Arabidopsis thaliana: one gene and its partner. The protein of the gene in region 2 interacts with the protein of the main gene of each other region in a pairwise test. Each region holds a gene or a part of one and is shown on either strand. Other genes may lie near its edges. The genes, in order: IAA30 and ARF12.

Region 1 (3,841 bases), on a different chromosome or scaffold from region 2:
TCACCATGGTTACTTTCTTGGTAAGTTACTGTGAAGTTTTGAACATCAAAGGGGAAACACAGTTTGCTTGATTCTGAAGAAACCTCTTCGATTTTGAAAAATGATGCTTTCTTTCATCTTTTGTTGTTTTCGTGTAAATTTGTGTGCAGTGAGGAAAATAATCAGAGTGGCTTAAGAGTTTTTGTTTTTGTTTTCCTTGTATGGGCTTTAATGCTTTTGGTGAGCGGAACAATTGTAATATCTCCGACAGAGTCTGTTGAAATTTTTTGACAATTATTTTTCAATTTCAGATTCCATAACTAGAACAACTATATTTCACTGTTTATTCCGGTAAAATAGTTGAATTGAGAAGTAAATGATAGTATGAAAATATGAAATAGATCTTGATTTGGTTAAACTAGTAACTCAACTGAAACTTTGTGAAAACTAGAATACGAATATGAACCTAATTCAGCAGTGTTCCAAAACAATTCATATTTCTAGTATTATCTAATCTATGTCTAAAACCATAAAAATAACTACTAAACCAAAAAGGATCTGCATTAGCTACAGCTTTTTTTCTTGAAAAAAATAGCTTCATTACAAGTTACAACCGATTTTTTTATAAATGTAATAAAACTAGAAACAAAATTTGAATAAAATCTCGAACAAGTGATTTACATTCAGACAAAACTAACTTTTTCCCCCACCACCACTGACTGTATTGGTCAATCCTAGATTCTTCCAAGTTTGCTTTTAGAAAATCAGTAGTGATAAGCTCTTGAGATCTTTAGTCTTCTCACGCTAGACAAGAACATCCTACATAATCAATTAAGTCCCCATTAATTAAAGGGAATTTTTACATAATTATGTCAAAAAAAATACTTAACTAGAGATTTTTAATACACTAAAATTAAAAAAGAACTTACTCCCAAGGAACATCTCCAACCATCATCCAGTCACCTTCTTTGTCTGCGTACGTTAGCACGTGACTCTTCTCACTACACATATCTTCTTCTTCAGCCCCTATTTTCACAATTTTTTTATTGCCATTAGTTTTGGTCTTAACTATATACATGCAAAGAGAGGTATAACAAATATAAATATTAACTAAGTCTACATGCAAAGATGTAATTAAGTGTGTGTAGATACTTACAAAGGATTGAAGCATTGAACATGTAGTCGAGAGTTGTGATCAAATCATGATATCCATTAAGAGATAAAAGATCGATCTTTCTCCCAATAGGAACTCCTTCCATGTTCACTTTCACGTAGAAGCTTCCGACACTATTACACTCGTTTTGCTCTTCTTCTTCCATGATCATCATTTCCTCTGCCGCACCGACTCCATCATATTCATGGTTATCTCCACCGTTGTAATATTGTCCGGAAGATGATCCGAAGCTGAGCCCGAGTCTCAGGTCCGTGCTTAGGTTCCGAGTATTACTCGAAGACACACCAAATGGGTTGCTTTTGCAGCTGCTCTCTATCGATGAAGACGATGAGCTTCTCCCTCTTCCCATTTTTTTTTATTTCTTTTACTATTTCTCTCTCTCTATGATTTTATCTAAAACAGGTGATTAATGATTTGAACGTGTGTGTATTATATATAGAGAATGGAAATTTTTATTTAATTGTTAGAGCTTAAAAGGAAGAAGTAATAATATTGGAATGGTCTTTCTGATATGTTTTTTTTTTAATTAAAGAAAATGGTGGAATGATGAGACAGTGTTGTTAAAGATGTTGTCCATGTAGCAGACAAATACACGTGTCATGCAGACACTTGGTCAAAGTGTTGGTTTTGACTTTGTGCTCGGATTTTTTTGCTGGGTGTGTTCTAATTAAATTTTGTTTGTTTCAATGTAAATATACTCGACTCCTAGTACTACCTTTCGTTTAACAAAAAAAAAAAGAAAAAAGATTGTTTGATTTCTTATAAAATAATTAGGGTTGGATTTTAGAATTAACTGAATTATTTTGTTAAAACACTATAAATGAATAAGAAACTGTGACTGATTTAGTTTAAAAAGTTTAGGCTTAGATTTAAGGAATCATATGAACGTAGACAAGATAGTTCTAAACCGGATAAGAACATGTTTTCTTAAATAAATGTAGACCAATGTACAATACATAGTTTACTTCATTATCCGTCTTAGTAAAATCAAGTTCAATGCATGAGACTATCGTGACGCGCATTGATGCATTCGTGGGTTCGACAAACAACACTTCCATAATTAAGGTTTTTTTTATAACCGCGAGACACTTTAAGCAAAAAAAATGTTTTTGTTTTAGCATTAAAGTATGTCAAAATGTTTTTTAAATTGAATATCAACTGCTAAACACGTCTCATGTACGTCATTAACTCTCTAATAATGTTCTTTAATTATGACAAAAAATATTGAAAATAGTCTACGTGGACTCCATTGTATCTAAGCATGACAAGAGTTTGAGCTTTCCATGATTTTAATCCACGTCGCTGTTAGTAATTACACTCCTCTACTAATTTGATTGTTCCTTTTAATTTATCTTATCATGAAGCATCTATAGTCAAGTCCAACCACTACTATATTTTTCCAATACTAAACCAATTTACCAACCTTTTATGTGTAGCAATCAAAGTGAATCAAGTGGTGCTAATCTCCCACAAATCTTAATCAGAATTTCTGTATCTTTTCATGGCAGAGACCAAAACACATCATATTGGTGATCTTAGTCTTATCCGTCGTTAGTATTCAAAATAGTGACTTTAATAAATGCTTCTCTTTGGTTGGCACACCAAGATTCTATTTGTGTAATATTCATTGGATTTAGATAGAAACATGTATGTGGTATAGTCAATTCGGTTGATATATTAAACTTTGGTCACCAGAAAAAAGTGCATGCTTCTTGGTTTTGTACGTTACATGTAATAAATTAGAAGCGAAGAAACAAATAGAGGGGAATATAGAAAAAGAAAGAAAATGAGAGAAGGGAAGCATGAGTAATGAATGCGTAACCTTAAAGAGAGGAGCTAATGAGAGATGCTTCGCCTATGGACTAAGGACTGAGGATACGTCACAATTCTCACACTCCAAAACATACATATAGTTTTGCAAGCACGAGACAGTAAACACTATCGACAACATTTCACGTTCCCCACGTCACGTGCCTTTTTCCACGTGTCTCCTCACTTTGTCGCCTCCACTTCCACTCTTCTACAATCACTCCTTAAGCTTCTTCATGACCTACCAATCAATATGATTAGAACTCTTTGTTCTCTCTTTTATAATTGGAAGATTTTGTCCAAAGTTATTTTTACAATCAAATCATATTCCATTCCGTCTTTTAGTTTATATGTACAACGTAACTTGTTTCTTATTTTTAATTAATGGTTTTAGAACTTAAAGTTTTACGGATTACAAATAGTATTCTTAAGTATTAAAGTGTTTTTCATATTATATATAGTTTTTTAAAATAATTTGAAACGATCCTGAATCTCTTATCAAGTGTCTTTATCATTGAGCCAAAAACATATATAGTATACACATTCATACAAATCTTTTGAACCCGAAACATCCAAACAATGTCGTTATCACAATAACCGACATGTATTGCGTAGATATCGTTTGGTTTGAAGAAACAAATAGATACTATTAGAAAGAAGAAGAGAAAAAGATTTAGCTTGAACCAAAAGAAACTCCAAACATGATTTTTGAGAGAGAAAAAAAAAAAGGGAAACTGATAAAGAAGAGATATGTTCCCCACCACCCCTACCATTATCATCACAATTTCCTCACTTTTTTTTCTTTCTTCTTCAAACTTTTTTCTCCACACCATTCTTTGTCCCCTTTGTTTTTTTTTTTTGTATCTTGTACTCGTCTTT
Region 2 (5,529 bases):
CACATAGTAGTATTTTATTCCTTAAATTTCTAGAAAAAAAATCCACATTATTAACTATTTTAATACAATTTAAATATATGAAATGAAGAAAAAACTCTTTACCAAAATCTGAATACTCGTGATGCTATTACACTCAATCTATGATAACTTTTTATATCTTTTTTCTACCTTTACTTTTTTATTTATGAATTTTCTCCAATCATGATAATTGAAGTATCTATTCACATAATACTTTATTTTATGTATGATTCGACTTAGTAGTTTTATTTGAATATGAATTGGCTGAACTTCCTAGTTCCATCATTATATATTAACTAGTTGTGAGTGCTGACATAATTGCAATGATAGATTTCAGAAAATATTTATTAAAAATATAAACATATTTTATAGTATCATTTGGTTTATGTCTCCAAAATATCCGGTTTTGCAAGTACAATAATAGGTAAAGTAAAATTTTTAATTTATTGAATGACTATATACTTCGTCTTATACAATTTTCTTTTCAAAATATCATAAAATAAATACTACACTCAAATTTTTAGAATGTAGATTGTATGAATTAGAAAGAAAGCTCAATATCACGATAACAAGGGGATTTTATTTTATTTATGGATGATGAAAACAAAAGTACATAATACAAACGCATGCAACAACAAATAAGAGAAAAATAAAAATAGAACAAGACACCAGTAACATTTTCGACCCCTTTTTATTACATATGTTTTGATTCTTAATTCAACTTGAGAGACTCTTCCTGGACTTCAAATTTTTTACCTCCTCTTTTGAATGAATATCTTCTTCACCATGTTGCAGAATTCACTACATGCAAACAACACAAAAAATAAAATATCAATGTCTCTCAAGATGTTAACTAATCTTTCAATCGATAGAAATAGAAAGGAAACTTACGGCCATGGATCGTCTCCAACAAGCATCTTATCTTCGTCACTATCTGTGAAAGCTATTTCCCATTGGTTGCGAGTTTGCAATTGACCTTTGATATCAAAGAGCTTCTCCAATTCTAGTATTAGCTGATCATATCCATTAAGAACACTTAAATCCACAGCTCTTCCTATTGTTACACCTTGCATTTGAACCTGTTCCATATCAAGATTGCGTGAGTTGAGTACAATGAGAAAAAGTTATATATATAAATAATAAGAGTATATTGATCTTATACTTACTTTGGTACAAGTTCTACTAGAACTGAACTGCTTGTTTTGGATCTCTGTTGGTGATCTTAAAGTTTGGCTTAGACCAAACTTTTTTCCTTCAGTAAGTTTCGAAATCTCCGAGCCAATTTCTTCAATGGGATCTTTGATCACCGGAGGAGTGTCCAGAGTGACTCCAAACAGCCTAAAATTAGTGCCTGTCTTGGTTGTTATATTTTCTTCCATTTCTGTAACCATTTGGTTATTGTAATTTAGTTTGGGCATTGGTTGGACAGGGTAGCTCATTAGCAATTTAGAAGGATTCATAGCATCTTCAGTTGCATCACGATAACGAAGAGAAATATTCATCGGAGAGGCAACACTTAGTTGTTCATTTTCTTGTCCTTGTGTCAATATAGGAGGTAAGAGATGTGATGATGAAGAACCTGTATATAAAATAGGATTATTGAGAAGGTATTCAAGAATACCAAATTCATTAAATAGAAGATTAATTCTTTAAATAAAAGATTATAAGAGTCTTTTTTTATACCGATTTCATTAACTTCTCGTAAACGCTTGTTCTTGAGCAAAAATGATCGCGGAACATTTATTGCAGGCATTAAATGTTCGATGTCCCAGGGTGACACTTTTTTAGGTCCCGGAAATGATGTAAATTCATCCCACTGCACCTGCAAAATTAAAGTTAATTAGTGATATGTTATTTATTGCACTCAAAAACGTATTCCTAAAATAATGTTATAAAGTGTGAATGAAATTTTACTTCTAAGCTGCGCCACTCTGAACATTTCCAATGAGGAGAGAAATCACTAACTCCAATAATTGTCCCAAAACATCTTAATCAATTGAACAATATGTGTTATCATAGATAATATTAGACATTATAAATATATTTAAGCAGAAAAAAAATTTCATCTAATGTTACCTTCTTTCAGAGAAATCATCACCCTCTAACCGCATTGTAAATCTTGAACCGACATTGAACTTATTGTTCACAGCGTCCAAGAATTTGTCGTAACTGACAATAAATTTACTTGACCTGATACTTATAAAGACACAAAATATAAACCTACATGTTGAAGGAACTAATCTATTGATAAATCAATATAATCTAAAATGTGAGTTCAAATGGTTCTTTGAATTACCTTGGCTTGTAAACCACAGTGAACATACATTGGTTATCAAAAGCATGCTTTGCGGAAGCAACTACCCCATGTCTCATACAATCTATTGATACTATTGATGAAGGTATATTCCCTTGTTGATGTCTTGCTCGTCTGATACCAACTCGTAACTCTCCAGTCTCTCCCCTGAAACCACAAGTAAATAGTTTAAAGTCCAAAACTCAAGAACCAAAAAATCCATATATAAAAAAACCCAATAATATACCTAACGAATACGATGACATCCCCTGCAACCAATTTTTTTGATGTTGTGAATGCATTCCAACCAGTTGTTAACAAATGTCTTTGCGGTGTACCTGCATGGAATAAGAAGATTATTAGTTATTTATCTAGGATTTATTACCTCAATTGTTGTGTTTGAATTATATGAATAAAAGGAATCATTACCTCTATAGTTGTGGTTGAATCTCCATTGATTACCATGGAGATCTATAGCAAGAAGTTCTTGTGCAGGTAAAGGTTGAGACATATCCTAAACCAAAATTTAATATGTAATGTCTAATGAAAGATTAAAGTTTAAATTTATTTTAAAAAACTATAACATTAAATACCAGCGAAGGGAGACATTCAATGGCATGTTTTTTCGGTACAAAGAATCCACCATGAGCGCTTGTATCTGAGGCCGTTAAAACCTTCGTAAAGGAATTAACTAATGGTCTAAATTGATTTTCATTCTGAGTAGGGATTACAACTTGCTAAACATTTAACAAAATCAGAAAATCAGTGTATTATAATAGGAGGAAAATAGAATTAACTAATAATAAAAGAGAAATACTAAATTTTCACTTACAGTTGTATCTGGCATCAAAGTGATCTCAGCATAAGTCTCATCACTATTGTTTTCCACCTAAAATCAAACATCAAACAATTACCCAATTACGTCTTTTTACAATGAAATTAAATATACATATCATGCGTATTCGCTAAAACATAATAGAGATATACCTTAAGATGAATAGCAATAACACGACATTGAAGCTTAGAAGGAAGATCACAAATTGGTTGTAACTCATTCAACTCTTCTCTTGTAGATGTCTCAACCTGAAAACCCCGTTAAAAGGTTTCATACAGAGAGAGAGAGAAGAGAGAGAGAGAAGAGATGGAGAGAGAAAGAAAAGAGAGGGAGAGAGAGAGAGAGAGAACTCACAAGCTCTATGTGACCTTGAGGAAAGTAATAAACCTTTTCTCCAAGTTTTGGAATATCACACAAAGGTCCCGCACAGAGTTTCCATAACTGCTCGTAAACATAGCTCTTGGATCCATCAACTACCGGAAAAAAACTAAAAATTATAACCAAAACAAGTTTTCAATAAAATAAAATAAAAAGTTAAAATTTCTTACTTATGCCTGATAATTCAGGTTGTGCATTCACAACGTTGCCACTTTCCATAAGCTCGTATCTAAAGATCGGTATACCAAAATATGTTATCTCAACAATTATTATACAACTTTCTCTCTTTCCTCAACTTCTCTTGCGACCATGAGAGCGCAGAATATCACATTTATAGGTAAGAAGTATCAAAACACAATAAAATACTTCCTTAGATTTGAATACTAAATTTAATAAGGTTACCAAAAAATAATAAAGGTAATTTAGAGAAATTTCATTAATATTTTGACTACATATAATAAAATCAATTTTTTTATATATTTATTGATTAACTTACCAAAATCAACATATGCATTATTCATATATAAGTTGAGTAATATAATACAGTTTTAATACTCATAGTAAAAAAAAAAACAAATCTTTGAAATTTGTTTATAGATAGCCATATAAATTTAACTAGGAGTTCTTACTTGATCATGATTACATGAGTAGGAATTCTTTGGTGTCGTGTTGATGCCTTTCATATGTGATCTATAGTACGTCTCATGTTTGCTTTTTCTTTTCAACATATGCATTATTCATATATAAGTTGAGTAATTTAGGAAAATTTTAGTACTTACAACAAAATATATTTTTCTATGAAATTTGTTTAAGAGTAGCCATATAAATTTTAAATATAAGTTTTTGCTTGATTCTGATTGCATGAATAGAAATTCTTTAGCGTCGTGATCAGACATTTCATATGGGATCTATAATACATCTCATGTTAGTTTTTATTTATTTTTGTCTTCCCTTTAAGTTTTCTTATAGATCTTTTATGAACCCGTTTTCTCATATATTGTTGCTCTTTGGAGAATTCTCCAAGGCCATGTTTCCTTTTTCATTTAGTTACGATGTGAATTTGCATGTATCTCATGCCTAATTTGAATGCCCTTGAAACAGGGGTTAATTACTGGTGGTGGTGGTTTGGCCTTACAAAGGGGTATGGCTTATGATGGGTTCCATCAAGAGTGTAGAAAAGCTTTTCGATGCCTCTCAACCCGAACGTCATCCAATCATTTTGCTCTATGTTTTAAATTTGTAGCTTTTATTTTGTTCTTAAAATTCAGATGAAAACTCTTCAATTTTCATTTATCTCGCTCTTCATTTCATGATTTTACTCTTTATTGTATGTTATCCTAGGCAAAGCAACATTGAATCAATTATATGTGTGGGACTCTTGCAATTGAGGAGAGAGACAATGTCAGGACATATAACACATATTTGATTGAAAATCTTTATTGAAGAATCCTTGCTTGTATGAAAGAGGATGAAACTATTTTTGACGATATTAGAAGTTGAAGGAAAATAATCATGGTTAGGCAAAATTAGATGACGCCACTCAGGACTAGCTCATACCTAAAATCCAGCAAGTTCATGCTTTAGACAGCAAATCCTACATTTATTTTAGTGTGCATCAAATTTGTAAAATAGTTTTGTAGTCTAGTGGTAGTTACCCTTACCCTTACAGATAGAAGGTGGTGGATTTGATCCTTGCTCACTAAAATTATTATCAACTTTTTTTTTTAACAGGTCCATATTATTTATAAATGAGTGTTCATAATTGATTATGATTATCTGAATAGAGTTCTCTAGTGTCGTGATTAGAACTTTGGATAATTGTCTGAAATGTCCTTTTTTTATTTATCAAAAACTGATGTAGATGTTAGTCTTCTATTCTATTAATTTTATAAGGACAAAAACTTAGTTAAGTAAAATTTTAACCTTCAAAAGTTCTAGTAGTAACACACCACTCATGGTGACGCTCGACACCGATATTTGATGGCAATTTGATTTCGCTCTTTGA

Evidence for each region.
Region 1: the proteins of ARF12 (region 2) and IAA30 interact in a two-hybrid assay, tested with the Arabidopsis thaliana proteins (one large-scale study listed by BioGRID).

What each region holds. Positions count from the first base shown.
Region 1 is NC_003074.8:22,993,496-22,997,336, reverse strand, and holds IAA30 (indole-3-acetic acid inducible 30), read right to left. Parts: upstream 1,652-3,841; 5' UTR 1,503-1,651; coding exon 1,136-1,502; intron 1,006-1,135; coding exon 909-1,005; coding exon of another isoform or gene 905-908; exon of another isoform or gene 799-904; coding exon 744-798; 3' UTR 528-743; downstream 1-527. Other genes in the region: AT3G62110 (Pectin lyase-like superfamily protein), read left to right, coding at 1-24. UniProt on the Arabidopsis thaliana protein: Aux/IAA proteins are short-lived transcriptional factors that function as repressors of early auxin response genes at low auxin concentrations.
Region 2 is NC_003070.9:12,507,778-12,513,306, forward strand, and holds ARF12 (auxin response factor 12), read right to left. Parts: upstream 3,744-5,529; coding exon 3,695-3,743; intron 3,620-3,694; coding exon 3,501-3,619; intron 3,395-3,500; coding exon 3,299-3,394; intron 3,201-3,298; coding exon 3,144-3,200; intron 3,049-3,143; coding exon 2,905-3,048; intron 2,826-2,904; coding exon 2,741-2,825; intron 2,650-2,740; coding exon 2,559-2,649; intron 2,480-2,558; coding exon 2,315-2,479; intron 2,209-2,314; coding exon 2,095-2,208; intron 2,006-2,094; coding exon 1,933-2,005; intron 1,841-1,932; coding exon 1,702-1,840; intron 1,598-1,701; coding exon 1,185-1,597; intron 1,098-1,184; coding exon 910-1,097; intron 820-909; coding exon 771-819; downstream 1-770. UniProt on the Arabidopsis thaliana protein: Auxin response factors (ARFs) are transcriptional factors that bind specifically to the DNA sequence 5'-TGTCTC-3' found in the auxin-responsive promoter elements (AuxREs). Could act as transcriptional activator or repressor.